Oryctolagus cuniculus: one gene and its partner. The protein of the gene in region 1 binds, or shares a complex with, the protein of each later gene. Links are inferred from orthologs where the notes say so. Each region holds a gene or a part of one and is shown in the gene's direction. Other genes may lie near its edges. The genes, in order: TNNT2 and TNNC1.

Evidence for each region.
Region 2: the proteins of TNNT2 (region 1) and TNNC1 are in contact, whole or in part, in a crystal structure (PDB 1J1D), measured with the Homo sapiens proteins. The link is inferred for Oryctolagus cuniculus from reciprocal best matches to the Homo sapiens genes TNNT2 and TNNC1. Residues at the interface, in NP_001263274.1 of Homo sapiens: Gln266, Tyr269, Asn272, Val273, Asn276, Arg277, Asp280; in NP_003271.1 of Homo sapiens: Asp99, Phe101, Arg102, Asp105, Ala108, Asp109, Gly110, Tyr111, Arg147, Tyr150, Asp151.

What each region holds. Positions count from the first base shown.
Region 1 is NC_091444.1:17,357,960-17,362,381, reverse strand, and holds the start of TNNT2 (troponin T, cardiac muscle), read left to right. Parts: upstream 1-1,453; 5' UTR 1,454-1,907; coding exon 1,908-2,049; intron 2,050-2,147; coding exon 2,148-2,225; intron 2,226-2,551; coding exon 2,552-2,587; intron 2,588-3,273; coding exon 3,274-3,307; intron 3,308-4,140; coding exon 4,141-4,201; intron 4,202-4,422. UniProt on the Homo sapiens protein: Troponin T is the tropomyosin-binding subunit of troponin, the thin filament regulatory complex which confers calcium-sensitivity to striated muscle actomyosin ATPase activity.
Region 2 is NC_091441.1:97,259,753-97,264,299, forward strand, and holds the start of TNNC1 (troponin C, slow skeletal and cardiac muscles), read left to right. Parts: upstream 1-1,670; 5' UTR 1,671-1,913; coding exon 1,914-1,937; intron 1,938-3,346; coding exon 3,347-3,377; intron 3,378-3,591; coding exon 3,592-3,738; intron 3,739-3,941; coding exon 3,942-4,056; intron 4,057-4,212; coding exon 4,213-4,349; intron 4,350-4,425; coding exon 4,426-4,457; 3' UTR 4,458-4,547. Other genes in the region: NISCH (nischarin), read right to left, coding at 94-189. UniProt on the Homo sapiens protein: Troponin is the central regulatory protein of striated muscle contraction. Tn consists of three components: Tn-I which is the inhibitor of actomyosin ATPase, Tn-T which contains the binding site for tropomyosin and Tn-C.

The sequences.
Region 1 (4,422 bases):
ACGCAGCCCCGCTTGCTTGCCGTGACTGGCCGACACTTGCCCCCACGCAGCCGGGGACCCTGGTGTAGATGACGCCGGGGAGCAAGCTCTGGAAGGAAGCCCTGTCGCCTACACGGCGGCGTTCCCAGTGCCTCTGCTTCCGGAGAGTTCTTCCACCTGCTGTCGCCCCTTCCTGGGCCGGAGCGAGGGCTGAGTCCTCAGCTGTGCCCCGTGGTCATGGCGCTGGGCTTGCCTTGCACGGGGCAGCTTCCTTCCTGGGCACAGCCTCTCCAAGGCTCCGTGGTCCAGAGCCAGAGCCCAGCTGCTGGTTACCATTCGTGATGGCTCCCCTGGTGGCAGTCCTTGGTGGGCACGCCAGGCCAGCTCCCCTCAGTGGTCACGGGCCGGGAGGTGGGTGGGGGTGTTCCCTCGGACTGTGGAGGTGCCCGAAGCTCAGGGGAGCCGATGCTGCAGAGCGCTGGCCCGGGAGCGGGGACCCGGGCCACAGTGCGAGAGGCACCAGCCAGCCGCCCGCCACCGCTGCCTCGCCTCTGCTCCGAACTAACCTGTCTCGCTTCTCCCTTGGCTGCCGCTGCCCCCTGACCCTCAGAAGAGGAGGACTGGAGAGAGGACGAAGATGGTACTGTACCTTTCCCCCCGGCTCTGCTTCCTGCACCTGCTGTCCCCGGTGCCAGCGCCTGGCCCCCGCCTTAGAGGGGGCCAGTCAGGGCCACAGTTCTGAGCTGGTCATCACATCTCTCCTTTAGGGTTATGGGCTGGGAAACGCCAGCTGGCTGTCTCCCTGTGTGGCCACTGAGGGGCCCATATCAGGGCTGAGATGCCCCACCTACCCACCCACTGCACAGTGCTGGGCTGTGTGTGGGCCCTCCGTAGGAGCCAGGCAGCACCCAGGCAGGTGGCCGGTGGCAGGAGCCTGGGGACCAAGTGATCTGGGGGCTGGAAATGGCCAGGTCAGAGGGAACACGGTGTCAGCCTGCAGATGGCCCCTGGGGTGGCACTGGACCTGCTCCTGGCACCCAGGGACAGCACTCGGGCAAGGGGGACAGGCGAGGCTCGTTCCAGAGAGCACGGGTCTGACAGGGAGGAGTCAGGATGCGGGGGCCGCCTGGGAGGGGCAGCGCAGCTGATGGCGGTTGCCACTGCGGGCCAGGCATCTACTCTCATGCCTTCTGGAAGAATCTTCTCCACTGTGTCAGTCTCGGTCACCGAGGACCCTTGCCAAGCACTTCCTACGGGCAGAGCACGGGCCAGGGGTTACCCTGTCCGCCTCACCTGTCTGTCCGTCTGTCTGCTCCAGGCGTCTCAGCAGGGTGGGGTCCGCATCCTGCCCAGCATGTGGGTGGGAACAGAGGGTCCCGCAGCCTGCTGCCGAGGGCAGCCCCTCTGACTGCCAGGCAGCTCCTCCATCCTCAGTCTCGCTCTGCTGGTTCCTTCAGATGGGGGGCGGGGGGCTCAGGACGGGGGCTTCCCCAGCACTTTCTCTCAGGTGGAGCCTGTCTTGTGGGCTGGAAAGTTGGGGCTGGGGGCGTCATAGCCCCAGGGAAGCCCCTGGGGAAAGAGGCGCTAGGTCAGGCAGACAGGGCCCCCGGGCCCCCCAGTCCCTGGCTTGAGTCTCGTTGGGCCCACCCCTTCCCTGCTGCTGCCCACAGCACCCACCGCACCCATCACACCCCCACCCAGCTTTCTGGCCCTCCCGGGCTCTGTGTTCAGAAAGGCCCAGTGGGGAGTCCCAGACCGCAGGAGAGGCAGGTTCATGGCTACAGTGCTTATCACAGTCCTGGTCACACCCGTCTGCCCTGACGGTGTGGGCTGCAGACGAGCGGGTGGCATTTTACACCTTGAGGGCACCCAGGATCCCCAACCCTGCAGCCGGAGCAGGAAGCAGGCCACAGGCCGCGAGTCTGTGGATGCACATGGCTGTGCCAATAAAACTTTATCGGAAGCAATGGTCTACAGGCTGGACGTGGCCCCTGGGCTGCGGTTTGCTGGCTTCTGGCTTAAACCAAGCACTCGAGGCAGCCTCTCGTCACTCACGCCAGTTGCCTCCAGGTTCATCCACGCCATCCCTCCAGTGTGCTGGGCAGGGCCGGCCACTCTCTGTCCCGGCCTCTGCCTGGGTGTTCACTGTGTCTCGTTCCCCTCTACAGAGCAGGAGGCAGGGGAAGAGGAGGAGGCTGGGGGCGGAGCTGAAGCTGAGGCTGAGACCGAGGAGACCCAGGCCGAGGGTAAGGCCCTGGGCTGGGGGCTGGGGGCTCGCGGGGTGCTGAACACCCCCCAGAGCCATTCCTGCGGCAGAAAGAAATCCACCTGCCTCCAGCCCTCCACCTGTGCACCTGCCCCTCCTGGCTGGGTGGGATACAACCATCAGTTGGCCAATCAGTGAATGCTGGTTGAGTGCTCAGGCAGTCTTGGGCCCAGGGGCATGCATGTGAGTGCAGACCCCTGGCCCCATAAACCAGCAGCTCTCCCTTGGTTAGGCCCTGACTCTGGGGTGGGTGGAGGATTAGCACTTAGAACAAGGCCCTTTGTTGATTTCTCATGTTTCCTTTAGAAGATGGACAAGAAGAGGAGGATAAAGAGGATGAAGGTGAGTGTGGGCCCCCCCAGCAGCCCTGGGGAGGCGGAGGGGCCAGCGAAGGAGAGGATGGGACTGGGGGTCCTTGCAAGGTGTGGTGCTCTGGGCCTTCACCCCTTCTCATCCCGGGAGCTGTCTTAGTGGTGGCCAGTGACAATGGGACCAGTGACCAGCCCCTGGGACCCGGAAGTCACGCCCTCCATGAGGCTCCTAGAGCTCAAACCACTGGGAGGTGTGGGGTCTGTGGGGGAGAAACCCCGGGGCGTGGAGGGTCCCAGGGTGGGGTGGGGGCGGCATTGCTGCCGTCATCCTGTGCCCCAGCCCTTCCGGGAACATCGTCTCAGCCTCACCTCCAGGGCCAGACAGCAGCTAGGGCACCTAGCTCCCAGCACCAGGAAGTCCAGGGGGCAACCAAGAGACCTGGGAGGGGACTGTGGGACCACCTCGGGGACCTGGCCACCGACCCTCCTGGCTGCGAAGCCCCAGAGGCCATGGCGGACAAGAGCAGACCTTGAAGTAGCATGCTGAGGTCCATGCTGAGAGTGTGGCCGGGGGACGCGGCTGCCCCCTGAGACCCCCCTCCCCTGGGGACTGCTGTGGGAGTCAGCCTGGCCTCACAGGGGCCCACAGGTGCCAGCTCATGGTGGGGGGGGGGGCTGGGGCCTCCTGACCCCGCGGCTGTGTGCTCTCCTCTGCAGATGGCCCCGTGGAGGAGTCCAAACCCAAGCCCAGGTGAGTGGCATGGACCTGTGGTGAAGCCCTGGGAGGGGCCGGGCCAGTGCAGGAGGGTGATGGGCGCAGGTGGCACGGGCTAGGGGTGTGGCAGCACACACTACCCACACTGCCATGTACAGTTGTACAGGTTGCACACTGCACACGGGGTGAGGGCTGAATTCCACCCTGGCGCGTTTGTTGAGGAAGCAGGTGGACCAGCGTCCGCCCCGAGCAGGCACAGGGTGGCCAGATCACCACCCTCTGAGGCTGGGGTGGCCCTGGGACAAAAGGGAAGTGGCGGTGGTGGCCACAGAGCTGCCGAGGGCAGAGGTCGACCCCCCTGGTGGGGTGGGCTTGGGGGGGTATTCCCCATGCCGATGGAACCTCCACTCCTGCCCCTCTCAGTGGGTGGCGGGAACCTGCTCTGGCCAGGCGGTCCCAGCACCTGCGCTGCAAACCTCACGTCAGCTCCACCCGGGCGTGCGCGCGCCCGCCTGGGCCTGGGGTCACCCACCAGCTGAGACTGCGCTGGTCCGGGTCCCGGGGCGGTCCTGCCGGGTGCAAGGCGGGGAGCTGGCGTCCCACAGGCCCGCCTTCCCATCACAGCTTCCTGCTTCCTCGCCTCTCCCCGCTCCCTCTCCTTAAGCGAGAATCCCACTGCCACCTTCCTCCCGGCGCACCAGGTACAACACCCGGGTGCGGGGTGGACGCCAGAGCTCCTTTAGGCGTAGGTGTTGGGGCCGGCGCACGCGGCGGGGTCGACGTCACGCAGCAGAGTTGACGTCACGCGGCAAGTTCGAGGTCGTGTGCCAGGGCCGGCTCCCCGACTCGCCCCTTCTCTCCTCCCACAGGCCCTTCATGCCCAACTTGGTGCCGCCCAAGATCCCCGATGGCGAGAGAGTGGACTTCGACGTGAGCAGCGGCGTGGGCAGAGCAGGCCTGGGCTGGGGGGACGGCGGGGGTCCCTAGGGCCCCTGGTGAGAGGGCGAGAGCAAGAGAGAGAGGGAGTGAGCGATCTCATGGTGCCTGGGGATTGCGTGGGGCGCAGGCTGGGCTGGGAGGTGGCGGGGGTCCCTAGGGCCCCTGGTGGGTGGGAGAGAGAGAGAAGACAAGAGAGACCTCGTGGTGTATGG
Region 2 (4,547 bases), on another chromosome or scaffold:
ACCGGCCGCGGGACCCTGACCCCTCCTCATGCCTCCTCAACACCCTGACTCCGGCTGCCACCCCTGGTGCGGGTGCCCACGCCCCCAGCACACCGTATACGTGTCCACGAGCTCGGAGCCCACGACGCGCGCTTCCTTGGCCGGCTCGGCCTCCCGCTCGGGCCCGAAGCCGCCCGCCGAAGCCGCCATGTTCGGGGCTCCGCCGCCACAGCCGCTCGGCGCAGACTGGCAGCAGCAGGGGGCGGGGTCAGCGTCCCACCGCCCCCAGGCCCCCGCCGCCCCCCGCCCCCGCCTCGCGCTGCGCCGCCATCTTGGCCCCGCTGCTGTCTCAGCCTTCGCCCCGCCCCTCGCGCGCAGTGGACGGTAGCCGCCGCCGGCGCGCATGCGCACCCCGCGGGACCCGCTCGCTCCCGGCGCCTGTGTTTGCGTGGCGCCGCGGCGGCGCAACAGAACGCAGAGCGAAGAGTCCCAGCCCTGGAGAAAGGAGGCTGGAAGGCTTGTGGCCTTCTGGGCTACGGTTCCGCCCGGCTCAGTTTCTTTCTCCGGAAAAGAGGGCAGTCGTAGCGCATCCCCAGGCTGTCAGACTCATGCCCCTCCTGGCAGGAGACAGGAGCTGGGCCCGTGACTCGGCCAGTCCCAAACCTCTCCAGGCTTGGGCATCTGCTGACCCGGTGGCCCCTGGAGAACTTAGCGAGCCCAGCACGGAGTAGTCTGCCAGCCAGGGAGTTTATCCAGCGGGAGCTCCGCAGGGGTGGGGGCGGAATCTGGAGAGGAGCTGGCATGGTGGGTGGAGGGAAGGGGACGGTCTGGCCGCTGTGCGCGAAACCCCAGGTGGTGTCCTGCCTGAGCGCAAGGTGGGGGGAGACAGGCTGGCCCTGCCCCCCCCCCCCGCCCGGGCAGGTGCCACAGTGCTGCCCAGGGGCAAGGAAGCCCTGACCCAGTGGAAGACCCAGCTACAGGTGAAGACGCTGGGAGGGGGAGGTTTCTAGGGGTGGTATCTGAGTGCAGCTGGCTCAAGCACGGGGCAAACTGGAGGCCTGGGCCGTGGCCTCTCTGGCACTTCCAGCTGAAGGGCTCCGGATTACCCGGTCCTTCACCGGTTCCATGGCACCGTGCCTTGGCATTTGGCATCTCTCCGCAGGGCCCTGCACCCCCCGTGCTGGCCTTGTCCCTCACTTGGGGAGGGTTCGCTTAAGGCAAGGGCTGCCGAGACTGCCGAATCTTGGCCAAGTCAGCACTCCTCCAGGGCCTCGGTCGTGTGCATCCCCACGACTGGGTGGAAGGTTGAGCTGCCGCATGCAGGCGTGGCCTGAGGCCTCTACCTCCCCCCATTCGTTCAAGAAAGCTGTCTAGGGTGGCAGAGCGGGGCAAGCCACTGCTTCCAAGGCTGGTGTCCCGTCTCAGACTGCAGTTCGAGTCTGGACTGATCTGCTTCTGATCCAGCTTCCTGCTGATGCGCCTGGGAAGGCAGCAAACCATGGCTCAAGAACTTAGACTCCTGCCACCCATGTAGGAGACCAGGTTGGAGTTCCTGGCTCCCGGATTCATCCTGGCCCAGATTTGGCTGCTGTTTGGGAGAGTGTTCCAGCCAATGGAACCAGCCCTCTTTCTCTCTCTCTCCTGTTATTCTGCCTTTCAAATAAAATATCTTTTAAAAAAAAAGAAGCTTTTCTAGGGAGTCTTACGTGTGGTGTGAGGGGCAGAGGGCTGCTCCTTGCAGCCTTGCATCTGCTCCCTGCCCTAGGCAAAGGACACAGGGAGTCTGGCCAGCCCGAGCTCCCCGGGACGGGGAGGGGGCGGAGGACGCTGCACGCCGCGGTGGGCTGGGCTGGGCCGGGAATGCAGAGCAGGGCTATTTAAGCCGAGGCCCAGGGCTGCTGGCAACCCCAGCAGCCGTCCTGTGAACTGACAGCATGGATGACATCTACAAAGCTGCGGTGAGGAAGCAGAGGGGCAGGGCTGGGGTGGGGGAGCCGCTGGGAACTTAGCCCAGAATGGGGGCGGGGGGACCCCCAGCAAAGTGGGGGGGACCCAGGAGAGGCCCACACAAACATGCATCTTCAAAGGGACGGTGGGTCTGGCATGGGGGGGGGTTCAGTCTAGTGGAGCTGGCAGGGTGAGTGGAGGGGGTCAGAGCCTTTGCCGTCAAGCCCCCTGTTTCCCGTGTCTGTAGGCTGTGTGCCCATCTCGGCCACATCTCTGCATCATGTCTCCGCATCTCTCAGCTCCCCTGGAGCTGCCTCTCTGAGTCTCTGTGGCTGTCTCCTGTCTCCTGGCCCTCCCTGCCCCTCGCAGCCTGTCGCTCGCACCCTTGCAGTGCCCCTCCAACCTCCACTTCCTAGCTGACTGGAACGTGGCCAGGGGTCGTGAGGAGCAGGCTGCAAGACCCGAGTCTGGGCTAGGGAAGGGGCATGGAAGCTCAAGGCAGGGAAGGACTAGGTGTGCGTGCAGGAGAGGTGGGGCAGGGAAGACGGGAACCGACAATGAGGGGCCCAGCCCACGGGTAAACTCAGGGCTCAGTGGTTTAGCTGGGGACGAGGGTCAGGGAGCAAGGGCTGGAGAGTGGTCACCCCAAGTACCTGCACCCTGCTGGGGTCACTGAGGGGCTTCAGACCCTGTTCCATCCCGGGGGGGTGACCTCTGCCCCGGGGACAAGCACATGGGAGCCCAGGCGCTGTCCCCAGGGGAACCCTCCCTCAGCCCCTTGAATGCGGCCCCACTCCTAGGCAGGGAAGGGCTATGGCTGGCTGTGGGGGTGTGCCCACCCACCCCCACCAGGGGGGTGGTGGAGGCAGCCCTCCGCCCAGTGCCCATACATGGCCTGGCGGGGCTGGGGACTAATTTTGGCTCCCTAGGCGACAGCAGTAGGCCAGGGGGCCAGATAACGCTGCCCCACCCCCAGCATGCCGAAGTCCCAGAACAATCACCAGGTTTAACTTTGTCCCCCGTTAAAAATAGCCCAGTGGTCACCCTGGTCAGGTTACAGAGGGTGGCTTTGCCCGTCCCCACCCGAGTTTTATTGTCCCAGCCTGAGGGACAGCTGTCCTTCAGGCCTCGCAGCTTGGGTTTCATTAGGGAGGCTGAAAGGGCGTTGAGTGGTCACTGGCTATTGTTACCCCGGGTCACCTTGGCCCTGGAGGGGGTGCCCACCTGTCACCCTGGCCCCGAGCCCAGCCTCAGTGAGGCCAGCTGTGTCACCTCAGGGCTTTGGGACAGGAAGGGAGGGCTGAGGTCTCTTCTTGGTGGCCTGGCTCCTGGCTTCAGCCTTCCCACCTGTGGGACAGTTGCTTCCCTCGAAAGCAGCCAAGGCCTGAGTCTGTGTCCTGAGACCCCTTTTCCTCCCTAGGTAGAGCAGCTGACAGAAGAGCAGAAAAATGGTGAGTGTCCCCTGCTGCACTGCTGGGGACAGCAGGGCCAGGCTGGGGGAGTCCCAGGAGAGGAGTCCCAGCTGGAGGCCAGAAGCTGGGCCCCCTGGCTGGCACCTCAGCGGTCTCAGAGGGAAGAAGGCAGCTTGGCAGCTGGCCCTCTGGGGTCCTGGCTGCTGAGACGCGCTGCTCTCTCTCTGTCCCCGGCCCCACCTTGTTGATGCAGAGTTCAAGGCGGCCTTCGACATCTTCGTGCTGGGCGCGGAGGATGGCTGCATCAGCACCAAGGAGCTGGGCAAGGTGATGCGGATGCTGGGCCAGAACCCCACGCCCGAGGAGCTGCAGGAGATGATCGACGAGGTGGACGAAGACGGTGAGCCCCGCCTGCCCGTCTCGCTGGGGTCAGGCCTGGCTCTGTCTGTCCAGCGGCTGTTTAGCCTGTTTGAGCCTCAGTTGTCTCGTCTGTCAAATGGGCATACTGACCACGCTCGCCTCCAAGAGGCGGTGTGAGGGTGCAGGGAGAACGTGGGGCTTGTGTCCAGGCCGCTGCCTCACGGCATGCCGCCCGCACCACAGGCAGCGGCACGGTGGACTTCGACGAGTTCCTGGTCATGATGGTCCGCTGTATGAAGGACGACAGCAAAGGGAAATCCGAGGAGGAGCTGTCTGACCTCTTCCGCATGTTTGACAAGTGAGCGCGCTGCTCTTGACCTCTGAGCCTGCCACCCTGACCGGGCAGAACTGGGGCAGTGGGCAGCCTCCAATTTGAGATGAAGGGACCCTGTGTGAGGGGGGTGAGGGGTGCCTCCGGCCCTCCCCACAAGCTGCAGCCCCGGCTCCCCCTCAGAAACGCCGACGGCTACATCGACCTGGACGAGCTGAAGATCATGCTGCAGGCCACGGGCGAGACCATCACGGAGGACGACATCGAGGAGCTCATGAAGGACGGCGACAAGAACAACGACGGCCGCATCGACTACGACGGTGAGCAGGGGCCGGGGCCCTGCCGCCGTGCCCTGCCCGGCGGCCCGCTCACTGCCTCCTGGCCCTCTCTCCACAGAGTTCCTGGAATTCATGAAGGGTGTGGAATAGACCCAGCCTTCAGCGGGAGCCGCCCAGATGCTCCGACTCCAGCTGGGGTGCCGCCGGGGCGGGGCCATGAGGGTCAGCCGCCCCTCGCCC